Linked DNA regions of Cricetulus griseus. The protein of the gene in region 1 binds, or shares a complex with, the protein of each later gene. Links are inferred from orthologs where the notes say so. Each region holds a gene or a part of one and is shown in the gene's direction. Other genes may lie near its edges.

Evidence for each region.
Region 2: the proteins of Tgfb3 (region 1) and transforming growth factor beta activator LRRC32 are in contact, whole or in part, in a cryo-EM structure (PDB 8VSB), measured with the Homo sapiens proteins. The link is inferred for Cricetulus griseus from reciprocal best matches to the Homo sapiens genes TGFB3 and LRRC32. Residues at the interface, in NP_001316868.1 of Homo sapiens: Leu24, Ser25, Thr26, Cys27, Thr28, Leu30, Pro347, Pro349, Tyr350, Leu351, Arg352, Thr357, His358, Val361, Leu364, Leu368, Ser375; in NP_001122394.1 of Homo sapiens: Ala110, Ser135, Tyr137, Ser160, Val184, Met186, Asp187, Ile188, Asp190, Phe193, Leu202, Leu204, Arg206, Asn207, Ser208, Thr210, Cys211, Ile212, Ser213, Asp214, Phe215, Ser216, Leu217, Cys227, Asn228, Ser229, Lys254.

The regions. Positions count from the first base shown.
Region 1 is NC_048598.1:117,735,607-117,739,413, forward strand, and holds part of Tgfb3 (transforming growth factor beta-3 proprotein), read left to right. Parts: intron 1-269; coding exon 270-433; intron 434-692; coding exon 693-822; intron 823-3,807. UniProt on the Homo sapiens protein: Transforming growth factor beta-3 proprotein: Precursor of the Latency-associated peptide (LAP) and Transforming growth factor beta-3 (TGF-beta-3) chains, which constitute the regulatory and active subunit of TGF-beta-3, respectively.
Region 2 is NC_048596.1:101,068,740-101,073,114, reverse strand, and holds the start of transforming growth factor beta activator LRRC32, read left to right. Parts: upstream 1-1,549; 5' UTR 1,550-1,789; coding exon 1,790-3,448; 3' UTR 3,449-4,375.

The DNA.
Region 1 (3,807 bases):
AAAAAAAAAAAAAAGACAGTGGGCAAAGAGGACAATTACACTTGACTGCCCAGTCTCCGTTACATGTCCTGTAGCTCCACTGTCTCCTTGCTCAGGATTCTGCATGACTCTGAAATCACCAGAAATCTTCCTTGCATCTCCACCTTCAGATCTCTGGCCTCAAGCTTCTGGGGAGGTCATAGACAGGACTGGGGCCCCTTGGCATGTATCTCCTGGCAGCACACTGGGCGCTCACTCACTGTGCCTCTCCCCATTGCTTTTCCCTCTAGATGAACTGGCTGTCTGCCCCAAAGGGATTACCTCTAAGGTTTTTCGCTTCAACGTGTCCTCAGTGGAGAAAAATGGAACTAATCTGTTCCGGGCAGAGTTCCGGGTCTTGCGGGTGCCCAACCCCAGCTCCAAGCGCACTGAGCAGAGAATTGAGCTCTTCCAGGTACCTCTTCCAGCTGGAAACCACATACCGGAAGCCAGTTCCTGGCCTCCACTGAGCGTGGGGTCTGACAGACCTGGTCTGAAGCTGACCCCTCAGAGCCTCTGTCATTAAGAGTGCTGAGTTACCTGAGGTGCACAAAGGGCATGGTGTTCAGAAAGCTTTAGTCACCCCCTGCTTGGCTCACCAGTCCTGTGCAGTATAACCTATTCCTGGTATTCTGGCCTGGTCTTAGACATTCATTCTTTCCTCTGCCTCACAGATACTTCGACCAGATGAGCACATTGCCAAGCAGCGCTATATTGGTGGCAAGAATCTGCCCACAAGGGGCACTGCTGAGTGGCTGTCGTTTGATGTCACTGACACTGTCCGTGAGTGGCTGTTGCGGAGAGGTAGGTAAACTCCTAGCAGGAACATTTCAGAAGGAACCTCAGGTCCCTTTTGCCCCGTGAAAGGGAAGAGGAGAGGACTAGTGGAGCCATATAACTGGATTCAAAGTCTAGCTTTGCTAGTGGCTCTGTTCTCTACTTCATCATTAAATGCTGGCTCTAAGTCAGGCCCTCTAAGTTCAGCAGTGAACAAGACAGGTGAGAGCTCAGATCCCATGGGGCTTTCATTCTGGTGGCAGACATTCTGGTGGCAGTGAACATATTGAGAAAGTGGCATGTCAGTCTGTGATAACGCACTGAAAACTAAAGAATCAAGGGGATGATGGCTGGGTGCTCCAACACTGCTGCTTCGAGGAGGTCTCCATGGGGAAGGGAGTCTGATATTGTGATCCAAGTGATGAGAAGGAGCTAGCCCTTTAAGGTCAGGAGGCCAGGCTAAAGGGGGACTTAAGCAAAAGACGCAGTGGGGCCCAGGCCCCTGGCTGGAACCTAGCTTGATTTGTTGTAGCAGCTGTGAACAGACTGAAAAGCCGTGAGCCAAGGCCATCTGGCTAAGTATGTATCAGACCACAGGAAGGTTTGGGGCTTACTCCGAGTGTGATGAATGCTATTAGCAAGGTGTGCATTTGGGTGCAATGATGTGGCTTACCCCTTTAAACAGAAGCCCTCCAGTTTCTGGGAAGTAAAGGGGAAAGGCCAGGAAGACATTTAGGGAGCATTGTAGCAGCCTAGAGGAGGGTGGCAGGGGCTTGGACAGAGGCATCGAAGTGAATATGGAAATCACACGGATTCATTCTGCAATTTGGAGGTTGAGCCAATAGGCTAGTATTAGGTATGCTGTGTGAAGACACAGGAGCACTCTCAGATGACATCTAAGGCTTTAGGCAGGACATCCAGGAGGTATCACCGGCTGTTGGAAGAAGGGAGAGTGGAAGAAGAAACTCAGGGCAGGTTCTGTGTAGACCAATTGAGTTTCAAAAGCCCAGTGTCATTGAACTCTACAACAGGTATATCAAATGTCACATGTCCCAGATGTCATCCCCACATACCTTGACTCCTCATCTGGAAATTGAAGTACTGCTTCCAGCCTGCAGGCTTCCCAGAGCGGTCTTAAGGGTCATGTGTATTTGAGGGAACTTTGAGGGTTTCAATGCATCTTGTAAGAATAAGTTTTCATTATGTCAGATAAGGAAGCTGAGGTACGGAGTGATCAAGTTCTTCGACTAAGCTTATCCAGCCTGGATTAGAACTTTTGTCCCCCGAGTGATGATAGTCTGGTGTCTCCTGACACCATGTTGGTACTTCCTGCTCTGACAGCTTTGTGGTGGTGGTTGAGGTGGTGGGGATGGTTGTGGTTGTTGTTGGTGGTGGTGGTGGTTGGAGGAGGAGGTGTTAATGGAGGTGGGGGTGGTTGTGGTGAAGGTATTGGAGGTGGCAGTAGGAGGGTTACATATAGGGTCCCATCTGTTCTTCCTGGTCCCCACCATCATCAGCTGTGATACTGTTACTCCATTTACATACTGGCAGCCAGAGTCCTGGGGCAGGAGAACCCTTCCATGTCCTTGATGTTTGAGGAAAGTATGGTTGAAGGCAGAGGTCACAAGCTGCCTGCCTTTACATTTTTGCAGGGTTTTTGCTGTTTTAAAATTTGGGAGATTTCACGGAAAGCTGGGCTAGGTGTGGTGGCACATGCCTTTAAGCCCAGCACTCTGGAAGCAGAAGCAGACAGATCTCTGAGTTCGAGGCCAGCCTGGTCTACATAATTAGTTCCAGGACAGTCAGGGCTGTATATATAGAGAGAAAAAAAACAAGCAAACAAAAGCAAACAACAACGACAAAACCCAACCCAACAAAGATTGCTGACTTCTTGAGACTAATTGGAAGCTTGGCCCCTGACCCTGTACCAGAGCTGAGCAGTAGTCACCCTTTGAAATGTGCTGTGCACACTGTTTCTAACCCGTGCCTCGGTGCTCCCTGTGGGTGAGGCTCCAACGGGACTTTCCTACTTCCATAATCCACTGTACTCTTAGGCATCCAAGTCTTCAAGCTCCCATCCATGGACCTTGAGGGACAACAACAGAGTTGACACATGGTGGGCTGGAGACCCTTCCCAGGCCCATTTAGGAGGATAACACCTGTGAAAATCAACAGGACTCAGCCAATGGTGGCAGCAACACACCTCTGATTCAGGCAGCTCTCCACTCAGAACTTACCATGGGCCAGGAAAAAAGGGGGGGGGCAAGGGGGAATTCATCTTAGTTTGCCTGTCTGGTTTTGATCAGCTCCACCTGGATCTTCCTGAAGCCCTGGGCACTTGGAATGCCTGTGTCCACAGCTGTGGAACTCAATGAGAAGTTTGTGTAGAACATGCTTTCCATCCTCCTTGAGACATCAGAAAAGATAATTTTATAATAAACCCCACCACTGCCAACTCTGAGGTTTGTTTTTCTCTGGAACCTTCAGTTCACACGTAGGCAAATTCTGCCACCCCTCCCTTCCCTCAGGGGAAGTAGCTGAGGCCTTTGTTCACAAGCCTCCTCAAGAGTTCATGGCCTCAAACCAGGCTGCAAACAGACTCCAAGTTGGAGCAGCTGATGGTGTGGATTGATGAAGCCTGAGTCACACCTGTAGTCTGGGAGTCACTCAGGAAGCATCTGCAAGCCGGTGTGCTCCAGGTACCCAGGCTGAGGCCCAGGGCTGCCTGGAGCTCTCTCCAGGACAGGGGGAATCAGGTCCTTCCACCAGTGTGCCATGACTCATATGGCCCACAGTTTATCGGCATACAGAGCCAGGCTGGCAGGATGTACCCAGTGTCAGGCTGGCATGGTAAGGAAGCACAGGCATTTTGCCTCTCAGTGAATGGAGGATCATTGTATCTACAGTGCCTTTTGTTGTTTGTTCTTTGGCCATGACAACTAGGTGTGTAGTATCTCAGCTGGGAATGGTGGCACAAACAGTAATTCCAGCACTAGACTGAGGCAGGAGGAT
Region 2 (4,375 bases), on another chromosome or scaffold:
ACAGGTTGGGCAGAGCCACAGACAGTCTTGATGGATTCTGCTCTGTGTTAAGGACAAGGGTACGGCGAAGTGGGTTTGGAACAGTCTCTGGGCATTTAGCAGGTAGGTGGTTCAGTGGGGACAGTGGGATGTCAATGGAGACAGGCTGGGGGCAGGGACAAAACTAAGCTGGCTGGTTATAGAAGTTGCACTATTTGCCAGGGAGGGCTAGAGTGCCTATGGTGAGAATCTGGGAATGACCAGATGGAAATGTGCATTTGCATATGACCCCTAAGGACACATTTTGTGGAAGGACAAGAGTTGCTGAAAGGCCCATGTTCAAATCCCAGCTCCCTCCATACTGTCTGGGTGACCCTGAGGACTCCCTCACCCTCTCCCACCTGAACTAAAATATGTAATAAAAATATGTAATTATATCGGATCACCCCTATACTGGGTGATCTGACAGGGTCACCAGTCTGAAAGTCCTGGTATATGAAGTAGGTGCTGGGAATGACAAGTTAATTTTAGGGTAAGGACTGGAGTGTTGATGTGACTTAGTGGTCACTCAGTTAAATTGTCATCAGATAATGCTGGTTGGGTCCTGGTATTCCTTTCTCCTGCTCATTCTCCTCCTACTACCTGGCCCCATGATGGACCGCAGGCCACCAGAAGTGGCTACTGATGTGGGGGGTAGGTAGTAGCTGTGGAAAGCATTGTGTCCAGAGCTCACCCCACATCATAAGAGGAATGAGATCAAAGAGGGTGAACCAAATCAAAGCAGCTGGCAGGAAAACCTGCCAGTTTCCCTGTTGCAAGCATGTTTTCCTGATGAAGCTCCTAGCCTGATGCTGTGACTTTATCTGGGATGTGTCAAGGACCTAGAAGTGGACCTCGAAGCTGTGGCCATGGGTCACTTGGCTCTGGGTTACTCTAAGTGTAGCATGGCTTTGTTTCCCATATAACAGGACAATAATCAGCACATATTTATTCTTAGAGCTGTCTACTAATTCTCTGTCTACTGCCTCCCTCCTGTCCAGCACCCACCAGACTGCCAGAGGAAGAGTCAGAGAGAAGCCAGGGGTCATCAGCTCAGTGGAGAAAAAGCTCTAGCATCCTGGGAGTCTGTGGGGAAGCCCCCTGTCTTAGTTAAGGTTTCTGTTGCTGTGAAGAGACACTATGACCATGGCAACTCTTATGAGGGAAAACATTTCATTGGGGTGGCTTACAGTTCAGAGGTTTAGTCCATTATCATCATGGGAGGAAGCATGGCAGCATGAAGGTATACGTGGTGCTGGAGAAGGAGCTGAGAGTTTTTATACCTTAACTCAAAGGCAACAGGAAGTGGTCTGAGACACTGGGCATGGCTTGAGCATATGAGACCTCAAAACCCTCCTCCACAGTGACATACTTCCTCCAACAAGGCCACACACCCTAAGTACCACTCCCTATATACTTATGGGGGCCAATTACATTCCCCATCTCTCTTTCCTAGAGAATCCTGTCCTGTTCTACCCACATGCCCCTACTAATGCCAGCTTCTTGCCACCCTTGCTCTCCCTAGGTGAACAAGGAAGCCTTGTGCCAGGGCCTTGGTCTCCTTCAGGTCCCTTCAGTGCTCTCATTGGACATCCGGGCTCTCTACTTGTCTGGGAACAGGCTGCAGAGCATCCTGGCCTCTCCCTTGCGCTTTTATGCAGCTCTTCGTCACCTGGACTTAAGTGTCAATGAGATAAGCTTCCTCCAGCCAGGAGTCTTCCAGGCCCTGCCCCACCTGGAACACCTCAACCTAGCCCACAACCGGCTCGCCATGGGCATGGCACTGAACAGTGGAGGTTTAGGCCGCCTGCCCCTTGTGACCTCCCTGGACCTGTCTGGGAACAGCCTATATGGTAGCCTGGTGGAGCAGCTGTTGGGTGAGGCCCCGAGCCTGCACACCCTTTCACTGGCAGAGAACAGCCTCACTCGCCTGGCACGCCACACCTTCTGGGGCATGCCAGCCCTAGAGCAGTTGGACCTCCACAGCAACATCCTGATGGACATTGAGGATGGCGCCTTCGAGGCCCTGCCCCAGCTGACCCACCTCAATCTCTCCAGGAACTCCCTTACCTGCATCTCGGACTTCAGCCTCCAGCAGCTGCAGGTACTTGACCTGAGCTGCAACAGCATTGAGGCCTTCCAGACGGCCCCGGAACCCCAAGCCCAGTTCCAGCTGACATGGCTAGACCTAAGGGAGAACAAGCTGCTCCAATTCCCGGACCTAGCCGCATTCCCAAGACTCATCTACCTGAACATATCCAACAACCTCATTCAGCTCCCTGCAGGGTTGCCCCAGGACAGTGAGGACCTCCATGCACCCTCTGAGGGCTGGTCAGCCTCTCTACTGTCCAACCCCAACCGGAATGCCAGCGCCAATCCCCTCTCCCAGCTCCTGAACCTGGATTTGAGTTACAATGAGATTGAGCTGGTCCCTGCCAGCTTTCTGGAACATCTGACCTCCCTGCGCTTCCTCAACCTCAGCAGAAACTGCCTGCGATCCTTTGAGGCCCGACATGTGGGCTCCCTGCCCTGCCTAGTGCTTTTGGACTTGAGCCACAATGTGCTGGAAGCATTGGAACTGGGCACCAAAGTCCTGGGGTCCCTGAAGACATTGCTTCTGCAGGACAATGCCCTGCAAGAACTGCCACCCTATACCTTTGCCAGCCTGGCCAGCCTGCAGAGGCTCAACCTACGGGGAAACCAGGTCAGTCCCTGTGGAGGACGAGTAGAACCAGGTCCCCCAGGCTGTGTGGACTTCTCTGGGATCCCCACCCTTCATGTTCTGAACATGGCAGGGAACTCAATGGAGATGCTCAGGGCAGGCAGCTTTCTCCACACCCCACTTACGGAGCTGGACCTCTCTGACAATCCTGGTTTGGATGTGGCCACAGGAGCCTTGGTGGGCCTGGAGGCATCCTTGGAGGTACTGAAACTTCAAGGCAATGGACTGACTGTCTTGAAGGTGGACTTGCCATGCTTCCGCCGTCTCAAGCTCCTTAACCTTTCTGAGAACCGCCTCAGCCACCTGCCTGCCTGGACACAGGCTGTATCCCTGGAGGTGCTGGATCTGCGGAACAACAGCTTCAGCCTCTTGCCAGGCAATGCCATGGGTGGCCTGGAGACCAGCCTCCGGCGCCTGTATTTGCAGGGCAACCCACTCAGCTGCTGCGGCAACGGCTGGCTGGCAGCTCAGTTACACCAGGGCCGAGTGGACGTGGATGCTACTCAGGACCTAGTCTGCCGCTTCAGCTCCCAAGAGGAGGTGTCCCTGAGCCACGTGCGTCCAGAGGATTGTGAGAAGGGGGGGCTCAAGGACATCAACCTCATCCTCATCCTCACCTTCACAGTGGCCTCTGCCATCATCCTCACCACACTGGCCACCTGCTGCTTCCTCCGCAGGCAGAAGTTCAGCCAACAATACAAAGCCTAGGAGATCCTCTTCCCACTCAGTGTGGAAGCCAGAGGGGCAGAGAAGCTGAGGTCTGACTCAGGTTACACAGTGACCAGGGCCTCAGCTTCCTGCATCCTGCAACATGGACAGGTAGTTGCTTCCTAGGTTGCAGATGTGGTCCAGCTGTGGAGCCCAAGGTGGTGCAGTTTTCAGAGGATACCAACAGGTCTCCACTGAGCATCCCTTTCAGGCCTTACCTTTCTCTGGGCACTAGTGAATGAAGCACGTGCCTATCCTCCGAGACCGTGACCATGAAGTGTGATGGGACTGAGGTGGGGGAGGCCCTGGGCCCCCAGACCTGCAGTCCCCAGCTGGTCATGGAAGAGTCAACCCTGGCTGGCTGTGTTTGTGCAAGAGAGAGCAGAGCCCAAGAGATGATTTGTCTAAACCGTTTCCACACAGAGCTCTGTCACATCTGCTGATAATGACTCTCAGCCTCTCTGGAAATGAAGAACTTGTGACCGGAAGAGAGAGCCAGAACCTCCCCCAAAGGCCTTGAATCTGGGCTCCTAGGCCAGATTCTCAAGTTCCAGCTGAACCAGCTTAAAGTGTGGTCACCTGGACTTCCAGCCAGGCCCAGGGTGGTCTGTGTCCTGCCCTGGACAGGCCCTTCACCCCAGTGTACTCTCCTGTTACACACAATGACCCCAGTGCTGCCTGGATTCCCAGTCCCCAGCTCAGGCCTCCTTCCATCCCAGCCCCGCCCTGGCTTTTGAGCCAAGATGGAGAGCCTCGGCTATCTGGTTCTGTTTTGCACTCAGCTTAGCAGCTGCAGAGGCAAATCCAAGCCAACTCTCAGAGGTTTCTATGTTATCTGCATTATACACAAGAAGAAAACAAGGTTCCTTTAAGAGCCTCATGGCTGAGAGAGATGCCAAAGCCAAAGATGAATCAAACCCATGTCCT